3 linked regions of the Schizosaccharomyces pombe genome follow. Changing the gene in region 3 together with the main gene of any one other region gives a genetic interaction. Each region holds a gene or a part of one and is shown on either strand. Other genes may lie near its edges. The genes, in order: pmp1, for3 and kin1.

Evidence for each region.
Region 1: mutations in kin1 (region 3) and pmp1 impair growth when combined (synthetic growth defect), as found in Schizosaccharomyces pombe (3 studies listed by BioGRID, with this or other methods).
Region 2: of kin1 (region 3) and for3, changing one enhances a phenotype caused by changing the other (phenotypic enhancement), as found in Schizosaccharomyces pombe (one study listed by BioGRID).

Annotation. Positions count from the first base shown.
Region 1 is NC_003423.3:494,344-498,177, forward strand, and holds the start of pmp1 (dual-specificity MAP kinase phosphatase Pmp1), read left to right. Parts: upstream 1-2,189; 5' UTR 2,190-2,469; coding exon 2,470-3,306; 3' UTR 3,307-3,834. Other genes in the region: gamma tubulin complex linker Mto2, read left to right, coding at 399-1,592. UniProt on the Schizosaccharomyces pombe protein: Dual specificity phosphatase that dephosphorylates MAP kinase pmk1 on a Tyr. Has a role in chloride ion homeostasis by inactivating this pmk1 MAP kinase pathway.
Region 2 is NC_003421.2:1,001,203-1,004,802, reverse strand, and holds the start of for3 (formin For3), read right to left. Parts: upstream 2,054-3,600; 5' UTR 1,674-2,053; coding exon 1-1,673. Other genes in the region: SNARE protein Ufe1, read left to right, coding at 2,539-2,658, 2,856-3,090, 3,179-3,600. UniProt on the Schizosaccharomyces pombe protein: Involved in controlling polarized cell growth. Required for interphase actin cable formation and microtubule organization.
Region 3 is NC_003423.3:2,692,251-2,696,084, forward strand, and holds the start of kin1 (MARK/PAR-1 kinase Kin1), read left to right. Parts: upstream 1-2,081; 5' UTR 2,082-2,917; coding exon 2,918-3,834. Other genes in the region: emp46 (lectin family glycoprotein receptor), read right to left, coding at 1-922. UniProt on the Schizosaccharomyces pombe protein: Has a role in establishing the characteristic rod cell shape. Important for cell polarity and is involved in directing growth to the cell ends.

The sequences.
Region 1 (3,834 bases), 2.2 Mb from region 3:
GATTTTTTAGGAATAGTTAAAAAAGCATAGTGACATGTAACGAAGCGTACTGTTTGCCCGCACAGTCGAAGTTGCCGCTTAGAATTAAGCTTCGGTTAATAAAAACTAGCAAGTTATCCTAACGAACTGTGGGAAAAGCTTATTCAGGAAAACTTCGTGGATCCCGTTAAAATACGTTATGATAACTAATAGCGAACTGTCTTGTTGCTGTGTTTTGCAATATTACTTTTAAATAGTATAAGACAGTATGTTAAGTTAGGTTTTCAGAGTGCATACTCTATTCGTTAATTCGTGCTTTCAACTCTTTATCTTTCAAGAGTGCAAGAATCTCTTGCAAATTCGAGCTTGGTCTTGCAACTGTTTATTCTAATCCTCCAGCGTCTTGCTGGTGGTTTCGCATGTCTGAACATAATTACCAGTCTGATAGGGAAGTGGCAGAGGATCCTTTTCTTAATTATGAAGCCTCTGCTAATCAATTATCCTCAAATTCGCGCGAATCTACTCCAAGAGGTTCACCATGGCGCGCTGGTATGAGATCCGCATCTTTAATGACAGAACCTTTAGAAGATTCCATGTATAGCGATAATAATTATTTAGACAATGGGGTCTCTTTTACAAAAGATGAAAATCCTCTTTACTCGCCGTCTTGGCCGAGTTTGGCGGATGCAAACGTGAATTCAATGAAGTCTAATAATGCTATACAGGAGCATAAAGCAGCGAAATTTGTTTCTGAAAAGTCTTTGGAAAAAGTATCGACTGCAGATAATAACCTTGTGCTTCAGGAGCTTGAAAATCTCCGAGAACGCTTAAATCAAGTAGAGCTTCAACTCAGTGAGCGACCCTCTTCCTACTTAGGCTATCATAACAATCTTAGTCCATATCGTTCTCCTAACAGTTACCCTTCTCTTTTACCCTCTACTCATTCACCTCACTCACCGGCGCCGCTAAGCACGATGCAAACGGCTCTTATGCGGCTTCGCACTTATCATCCTTCGCCCATCATTTTAAAGCCCGTAGAGCAAGCTGTAAACCATGCAATCACCTTGGTAAACACCTCTCCATCGAGTGTGGTGGATGCGTTATGCCGAAGCCTTGCCGAATTGTGTCTTGGCTTGGTGCAAGAAGCGATCGATGCATCTATTTTGAGTCAACAGGAAAGCTCAAACTCTTTAGATCTTGTCCGTCATACACCACCATTGAATTATACCAGTTCTGTTGATTCTTCACCACAACGTATGGCCTCTGATAGTTATGGTAGGCCTTCTCTGCATTTAAATGACCCCTTTCCATCAGTTGATCTTCAATCAAATGAACTTTCTCATCATAATGTTAGAACAACTCTCTTTTCTGATGATTCCCGATTTCATTCAAAAATTCATACACATTCTACTCCTCCTTCTCAAATGTATAGTGCTGCATCTCATTTCCGGTACCGTAGCGATCCATCAACCCGTCATGTCTCGAATTCTACAAACAAATCGAGCTTGCATCCATCACCAACGTCTTTGCGAGTTGCTCATCCTATTATCCCCCAGAGGGCGTCTCCAGCATCACAGTCTTTTCCTTCTCTTCAAGACACTCCTTCCCCCTAGTTCGGCCTATTACAAGTTTAATTTTGAATCAATTTTTCTTTGTGTTTATCAAGTAAATCAGGTTCTTCTCATACATGTAAGTTCATACAAACATTGATTGAGGAGTGCTATCATTTAATTTGTCGTCCCTCTCGTACAAGTTTTTATTTTTTTTATATCGCTCATTTCTTTAAGAAGTTGCTAATCCTACTAGGACGTCTATTTTAATGTTATTGGATCTGGCTGCATCTCTATTTGCTGCATTGCTTGCTCAAACTTTATAGTATGAGAACGTCTTAAAATTTGAGGTTTTGTTCATCTTCTCATCAATGCTATTTTTTTAAAATTGATAATTCAGTGCAGATCTTTTCATTATTTAACCATATACGATAATTTAGATTTGGGAAGTGGATGTCTTCTTCGCAAGACGAAATGGTACATTGTGTTTAATTAGCTTTATTTCGCACCTGATTTATAAAATGAATCAGATAATTTAACTCGTTACTGTATTTACTTTTAGTATCTTTCTATATTCAAGTTTACCAACTTGTTAAAATGCGTTACCTCTGTCACCTGTAGAAAAGCATCAAATGCTGTAGCTTGGTAGGAGCTCACAATACTTCCATACATCTTTTCAGTCTATCATCAATTATTAGAACACTGAAAATTTGTATTCTCCAGTTATCTTCTTGCAAGTTAAATATTATAGAGGAAGCTAAGTTGAAATGGTTATTGGTGCCATGAATGTTTGAAGGTAACTCACAAAATGAATTCTGAATCAGCGAAAGAAAATGCAGAAGAGCAAATTGAAACGAAAGGACGTGCATTGAAGTCCTCAACAAATATAGAACGAAAAGAGTCTTCCTTACAACCGCTTCGATCAAAACTTCCTTTGAGAATGTCTCAAAAACTACCTCCCTTAAAAATTTACACCTCCCAACTTCCCCTGGTTTCCCACAAAAATATGTTGGAAAACGAAGAGGAAGCTAGTCATTCACAATTGTTTACTCCGTGTCCTGTCCCTCCATCTTTCCCGAAAGCATCTAAACCCAATTCTAATCAGCCGTACCCCAATGGCCCTGTTTGTATCTATCCCCCAAATATTTACTTATATGCCAAACCTACTATGCCCATTATTCAATCTTTTGATGTTGTTATAAACGTGGCGAAGGAAGTTTTGCATCCATTTCGCACTGATGGCCGTCATTATAGAGATTCTAAACATAACCTGGACATTCAAGTATTTGATCACATCGAATATGTTCACATTCATTGGGATCATGATACACAGTTTGCTTTGGAACTTGATAAGCTTGTTTCTTTTGTAGCTTACAATGCCATGCAACTTAACAAAAAGGTTTTAATTAATTGTCAAATGGGCATTTCTCGCTCTGCTTGTTTGATGATCGCGTTTATAATGAAGACATTAAACCTAAATGTTTCTGATGCTTATGAGTACGTTAAAGAACGATCTCCATGGATAGGTCCCAACATGTCTTTGATTTTTCAGCTTTCAGAATATCAACAAATTATTCGTAAAAATTCTAGTCAAGGTCCCTATCAATCGTCATCCTTGAAACAATCCAAAAGGAAATCTGAAGGTAATTTGCTTTTCCCTGAAAAGCCTCATAGTGCACAACTGCCTCTTGTTAGCCCGTCCACGTCTGAGTCAAGTATGTTCACAAATCTTCGAAGAACTCGAAGTAGCGGCAGTATAAGTAATGATGCTTCTTGACAATGCCAATTATTTATAAATACATAAAAAAAGGGAAATTTTGTCTATTCAAGTTCCGTTGTAAGTTGGTTTTTATACTCTTCCTTATGGGTCTTAATTCTAAGCTTATCAGCTGCTTTTAAAAAATATCCACTTTATTATGAAGACTTACGGGTCGCTCGTCAGTTATTCATATCATTCGTCATGGACTTTTTTACAGTTTGCATTGCTCGCTTCCAATGTATAGTTATAATTCTTGTTTAATACTTAGCTTGCAGATGTTTTATCGTTCTATGTTGCGAATTTGTATTTACCTCAGTTTTTTACTTCTAGTCTTTGGTTCTGGGTCGGTTTGTTTACCAATGAAAAAAACTAGAGTTTTCATGTCATTTGTCATTGTTATTGAGTGAAATTTGTGCGTCGTGTTATTTTCTAATTCATTATTCTATTTTTATGCTATTTCCTTGTTATTATTACTAAACTTAATATGAGGTTGTGAATATTTATTCAACATCATCAGTATCTATTCTTATTCCCAGTTAAAATGAT
Region 2 (3,600 bases), on a different chromosome or scaffold from region 3:
TCAAGCATGGCTCCATTATACTTTGTCTTGTACTCTGCAATCTCCTCTGCGGTACCAAGTTTGTCTAAAAGTCTTTGAGATAGGATCGTTAGACCGACATTAGTATCTGCTTTGGCAGTTTTGAAACCTTCCAGTGCCTCAAGCGTGTGAGTCAATAACTGCATACTTTTTTGAATTTTTCCGTTGTCGGGTTCAGTCACAAAATACTCGAGTAGTTTAATGAAACTTTCTTTAGACCCCTCACTTCCCGTAAAGCGAGTATAAATTCTTTGAAAAACATCCCAAACAGCCTGTTGTTCCGGAGTTGTGGGTCGATTATTAGATACAGGAGTAGAGGTCTTTCGAGTAGTATTTCCATGAGGTGTATGTGATTCTTCTCTATAGTTCATCTGTTTCTTTACGCATTTCCTATCTACATTATTCACATCACTACCACTTCGGAAACGCCGAGCATCTGCATTATGCTCTTTGATTAGTAATTGCAGAGCATCACGGACGTGTCTGTTTCTCCATTTTAACAAAGAGTCGATGGCCTTTTGAAGACCAGCAGATAACAATTCATGCCTTAGAGCACACCTAAGTTGCAAATCCGGTGGAGCAGCACATAAATCTCGAATGAGAGCTAAAGTTGCAACAAGGTAATCAATCAAGCAGTCCGTATCTTCAAATTCGTCCATGTGAACAATCGCTTGAGGAGATGAATCAGCACAAACTCGGACACCAGTAATCACATCATTAAAGGAATGCATCCATGCGCTAAACCGAGTTTTTGATAACTTTTGCTCGACGAGCCATTCGAAAGCCCTGATTACAGCTTTGAAGTAACTCAACCCCTTTTTATTACAAAGGAATTTAAGGAGAAAAGTAGCCATGCGAGCTGAATTTAAACTTTTTGAAAGCACAGTCTCAGCAATAGTACCTAGAGCATTAAATCCTGGAACAGAGCATTTAGCTGAAGACTGATAACGACGACGGCAGTTTTCGCTGTTCAAACAGTGAAATAATGACTGTATTATTTGGGATTCAAGAGGTGTTTTAGATGCACGTTCAGGATAGTGACCCAGGTTTCTTAAAGCAGACAGTAAACTTTCAATACCATTTCTTTCAGCAAATTCATCCATCCACCAAATTGGTTGAATACGTAATTGAACGTTTAATAGCGATAAAAAATGGTAAGTAGGTGGGACTTCAACGACTTTTTCAATGAAAAAGTCTATCCTTTTTAAAATTCGATTATAAGTTGCTTCATCTAAAACAGTATGTTGGTTAGTAAGAGGAGCATCATCGTCATAAAAAGTGTAGCGCTTGGTTCGCTCGTTGGTAATCTCTTTAACAATGGTAGGTTTTGGAAATACACGGGATTCTAAAGGATAAATTTTACGTAACTGCTCAGTTTCGGATAAAAGTTTATCATTTATTTTTGTCTTTTGGTGATAAACAGTGTTGTAGCACATAACATATTCGGGGTCATTATTGTCATCGGAAGTAAGAGAGAGATCTTCTCGCGACTCAAAATCATTAGTACTTTGTAATTTAGAAAGATCTGAATTTTCAGATAGGGAAATCGTAGAGGGTGTTCCAATACGTTCGTTGGAAGAGGTAGAGTAACTGGAATTTCGAGATTGAATAGAACGACTAGTAGGGGGAGACCCTTCAGGCATTTTAGATGCCATTATGAATTAACATACCAAACTGGTAATTTGGTTGTAAAAAAGATACTAACGAAGCTGATTAAGGAATAAATGGTAAGGAAGAAAGCAATCTTTGGTGAAAGAGAAAATATATCGTAATGCAGAGCTTAAAGCTCCGCGGTAATGTCAACCAGATTTTAAAATCGTTTGGATGATTATATTAAAAAGTTGAAAGGAACGCAGGTATCAGATGTGATGCGAAAGTACAGCTTTTTAGAAAAAGGGGTAATCACTGTATATTGTATAACAATAAGCAAATACTGAAGGTTAAAATCAATTAAAGTTAATAATATTAGCCTTATTGCAATAAAATGCTTGATAAATATGCAAATTTAACGTTTCGAAGAGCGTTGGTAAAGGATGAATTTATGTCGCCCAAACCATGTTATTATATAGCAACCTCAACACCAGCAAAACAAAAACCTTATTTCTTCGAGATAAAGGACACAAACAACTTTTTTCAAGCTAAATTTTTAAAAATAACTCAAAAATTGTAAACAATTTGACTGCGCTCCATTCTTGTGAGGTGTATAACTGGTTACGTTTGTTTGTTTACTTGAAAATAGCTCATTTCTAAATACTTCAAAAATTGCGAAACTTTAGCTTAATTTCATTTATTGTAGACATCGACTTGAAGTAAATAAACAAAACTCGTACAATGGAGTATTTTTTTTTGCTTTTTTGAACATTTGTTACGAGCACCTTTAAGTCTCTCAATTCCGTTTACCGTGTCACTATTCATAAGGGGATATGGAATGCTACCATTTTCTAAACATCTGTTCTGTTAATTTGAAATTCATTTAACCCGGGATTTATATTTCTCCTTTCTTAGCATCTCAAATTCTGAATGACGAGTCGTACGAATGAGTTTTTTGGATTAACAAAAAATGGCGACATTGATGCAGCAAACATTCCTTTGAAAAGAATAAGTTATACGGATCCTTTTTTGGCTGAAGGATATAGAATTGTAAGTTTGAGGACGAGTTTTCTGTAATTATTGAACCAATCGGAAATTTAACCTCAACTCAATTGATCACTGTGGAGATGCGCTACCATAATATACGATTAATTATTGAGTGGGATTGGTTTAAATTTTTGACAGTATTAACTTTTGTTATTGCTTTCTATATCTAATCAGAGAGTTCAAATTGCTAACGTTAGCAGCATGAAACGATTGTTAATCTTCTAGTATTTTTGAAAAAGATTCGTGGAGCTTATTTAAAGGACAGAACATTTTCAAATGTCCAAAGACTCTCAAAACCTTTAATGGAGTGTTCACTTGAGGAGCTTTCAAAGCTTGAGCTAGATGAGGTTCAAAGGGATGAAATAGAACATGAAGTCTCTTCGGCAATCAGTAGCTGTATTCATCAAATAGCTAAGTTGCAGGAGATTGTGAAAGGTAAGCTTAAAATTTTAATACTGGTAAAATTATGTTTACTTAAATTATAAACAAAACACAGGGACATGCTTGCTAATTGCATGAGTAGAACAACAAAGTCAAATCCCTAAAAAAAGTGGTTGGCTGCAAGGTTTAAGAGACCCTAGTAAATTATCGAAAAAGGAAACTTTAGTCGCCCACCATTCATCTGTTCTGTGGTATCTGCAGTCTGAACTTTCCGATGTTTCTTCTGTTCTATATCATTTACAAGATCTGAGATTAAAACGAGGTCAGGAAAAGCGAAACATTGCTTCAGACTTTTTAACAAAAAATCCTACTGATGAAAATTCAGCTGTTGAGATCCCTGAATCTGAATTACAAACATTTTTTACTCAACAGCAACTTCAAGAACTTGAGCAAGAGAACGATGTTTTACTCCAAGAATTTGAACATACTATGGAACGTTTACGTGATACAGGGAAATCTTTGGCTGATATTACTAGACTTCAGTCGGAAATATCCGCTCAACTA
Region 3 (3,834 bases):
TTTCACTTGGGAACTGTGAAGTAGAAGAAATATCGTTCAAACGCTCCAAAGCATTAGTCAACGCAAAATGCAAAGAGTCCATCTTCTGGCGTTGAGATTCTACTAGATTAAAAAGCTTTGCCAAATCAGCCTTTATTGCGTTCAAACCTTCAGTGTCAATAACTGTTTGAGGACTAGTATTGTCACCGACGCTTTGCTTTGTATTGGAGGTAGGATTCAAATTTTCATTATTAGATGTATCTGGAGGAAGTATATTGAGGTTCGATAAAGCCACCAAGTCTTTTGCAGACGTAGATTGAGAGGAAACTCCAAAATAATACCCCTGAGGCAAAATGACATCTTTTACTTGAAAGCAGGGCTTGTCATTCACAAATAACTCTAATCCAGATTGGTCACCGTATTTGAGAATAATATTGTTCAAAGCCTCAGGAGAGCTCTCAATGGTACATTTAGCAAAGGGCGGAAGATCGGGGTCAGTAAACTGAGCAAGTTCAAAACTTTTATCATTCAAATAGCCACGAACAAAGATTTTACCAGTTTGATCGATTTCCTGGGAAATCAGAAGGCCGTCCCACTTATCGGAGGCGCCAAAAACTGGACCTTCTGAACCGACAGCGCTTGTATACCAAATCGCAAAAAAGGTGTTTTCGTTCTCTGATACATGAGCTACAAATGAAGTCGATAGCTGCCAGCCAACTTGTCGTAAAACGCTAGTTGACCAAAGGGATCCAGAGCGTGCTTCATTACTGTCTTTGCTGGTTAAGTAAACGTAACCTGAATCTTCATCCACACTACCGTACCATTTCCATTCAACGGGAATGGCGTTACTTAGTGAATGAAGTTGCAAAAACTGAGATTTAGGGACGGCGTAAGCCAATGTACAACAAAACGATAATACATGAAACAGGGAGCAAAACTTCATTTTTCTTTACTTCGTTTAAAAATAGATAAATGAATATTGTGAAAGTATGCCAAAAAAAAGAGAGAGAAACAGAAATTGAAAGAAAGGATTATTTGGTTAAGACCAGGGACTTTTTGCTCTATTACTTATAGAAAAAGATTACTCCAGTCCTTAAATCCTTTAGTTACCGGGAACCAAAGTAAATAGATGTATTTTTGGTTTATTAGTTACCGTCAGAAAGTTTATCTACAAAATTCCGTAAATGTGAAATGACAACAACCGCCAACTCAATCGTAGTAAATAAGGATGATATTTCGAAAGTCACCTAACGAGTAATGTTAGACTTCCCTATATTTAAACATGGCAGCTTTCTGAGCAACTATGGATGTTGCAGTAAAATTGTATATGAATTGGTTTAATTGCTCGAAAGCATTGTTTGTGTGCAATGCAACTTTTCAATGCGAAGTGTATTTAATGATTATAACAAGCAATAAATGTAGTAAAAAAGACCATTTCTCTACTCCACATCAGAGACAGAAACCAGTTTTTGTTTTTTTTTAAATTGTGACTAAAAAAACAAAAAAACAATCAATGAATTAAGAGTACCGTCATGGTCGATGACTAATTTTAGTCGTTAAGAAAATTAATTGATTGTTCCATCGAAATAAATTTCATAAGCTTAAGAGACATGAAAAATACTTAAAACAAAACTCTAGAGTAACTTTAATATTTCGTTAATTTAAAAAGTTTTGACTTGGCACGATAATTCAGATGTATGAATAATGTAAAAACACACGCGTATTTGTTCATTTATGAGGAAACTGTGATGGTGATTTATTCATTGTATTTTTGAATACGCATATATTTAAAAGATTTAAGTATACAATTTCAATTGAGTCGTTTGCTGCATACTAAATCCATTTTTAGATACCATGTTTTTCTCATAACCATAAAGGAGCATGCTTGCGCCTCGGTATATAGCAGTCGTGATCTTTTAAAAGGGTGTGTGGGAAAGGAAAATACAAGTCGATAAATACATGAAATAGATTAAAAAAATAAAAGTTTAAGAAAATAGTAACTGGTAGGCTATTTTGAAGTCTTATCTCTATATAAATCGATACTAAACGTAATGAATGCTTTAGCATGGTGCATTCATCCATGACATCTCCACTGCTGCTTTAACCATTCCGTACAACAACAAAGCCAGTGCATTTGGGTTAGGGAATCCTTCCTTTACAGTTTCTGGCTTCATTTCCTTTTTTTGTAATAATTTAATTGAAAGGAAAGAATTGAAGAGATATTGAATGCCTTAGGGGACGTAGCATAGATTTGCAGTGGTTGTTAGACAGGAAACAAATTGCGGGAAAATCTCAAAGTCGTTTGACTTTCTGTTGCTCAATAAAAGAAACAGGAGACCTGTTTATACTAGAATTTCTCAAACAAGAGTTTTTACGACCGAAAATTATCGAAACAACTATATTTTTTGGTCGTTTATCTTGTTCATCGAAAAAGCTAAGCCGGTTTACCTGTTCTTCTTCCATCTTCCTGCTGCTCTAATAATCTCATTTGTTATCTTTTCAAGCTTTGCTTATTTGTTTTGATTGTAGAAACGGCTTTATCGGCTTGTGAGCATCCTTCTTTTCACAAACAATATTGATTGACTACTAATCCGTTTCTAAGCCACGAGCATTCTTGTAACTAGATCGCTTTGCTTATTTGTTTTCATCTCGTACAAGAATTTCTTCGTCCCTTTATTGTTTTCTTTTTAATTTTTCGGATTTCACGCTTTTTCGTAATATTTGTCATCTTAGGTTCGCAAGGAAACTGGTGCCACGATTTACGATAACAAAGTATTTTTTGTCAACCAAGATTTACACGTTTGTATTATTTTCACAAAGTTATTATTTTATTACATTACTCAGTCGGCTTATTTTGAGTTGATTGCTAATTTTTGCCTCTCAAAAGTTCAAGCAGTAATTTTATATCTGCTTTTTTGTCTGTTGATCCCATTTCCTGATGGAGTACCGTACCAATAACGTACCCGTCGGTAATGAGACAAAGTCTGCCGCTTTAAATGCGTTGCCGAAAATTAAAATATCTGACTCGCCCAACCGTCATCACAACCTGGTGGATGCTTTTATGCAATCTCCTTCTTATTCTACACAACCAAAATCCGCTGTAGAGCCTCTGGGTTTATCTTTTTCTCCTGGGTATATTTCTCCTTCTTCTCAGTCTCCACATCATGGCCCCGTAAGGTCTCCATCAAGTCGAAAACCGCTACCAGCATCTCCTTCTCGTACGCGGGATCATAGCCTGCGAGTACCTGTATCTGGGCATTCTTATAGCGCTGACGAGAAGCCTCGTGAAAGAAGAAAAGTCATAGGCAATTATGTACTAGGTAAAACCATTGGGGCTGGTAGCATGGGGAAAGTTAAAGTTGCGCATCATTTAAAAACAGGTGAACAGTTTGCCATTAAAATAGTTACCCGTCTTCATCCAGACATAACGAAGGCAAAAGCTGCTGCTTCTGCTGAGGCTACTAAGGCAGCACAATCAGAAAAAAACAAGGAAATTCGTACTGTTCGCGAAGCTGCCTTATCTACTTTGCTCCGTCATCCGTATATTTGCGAGGCAAGAGATGTTTATATTACTAATAGTCATTATTATATGGTCTTTGAATTTGTCGACGGTGGTCAAATGCTGGATTATATTATTTCACATGGAAAATTAAAAGAAAAGCAAGCTCGAAAATTTGTGCGTCAAATTGGAAGTGCGCTGAGTTATTTGCATCAAAACTCTGTGGTGCACAGAGATCTAAAAATTGAAAATATTTTAATTTCGAAGACCGGTGACATCAAAATTATCGATTTTGGTCTTTCAAATTTGTATCGACGTCAGTCTCGCTTGCGCACGTTTTGTGGTTCATTATATTT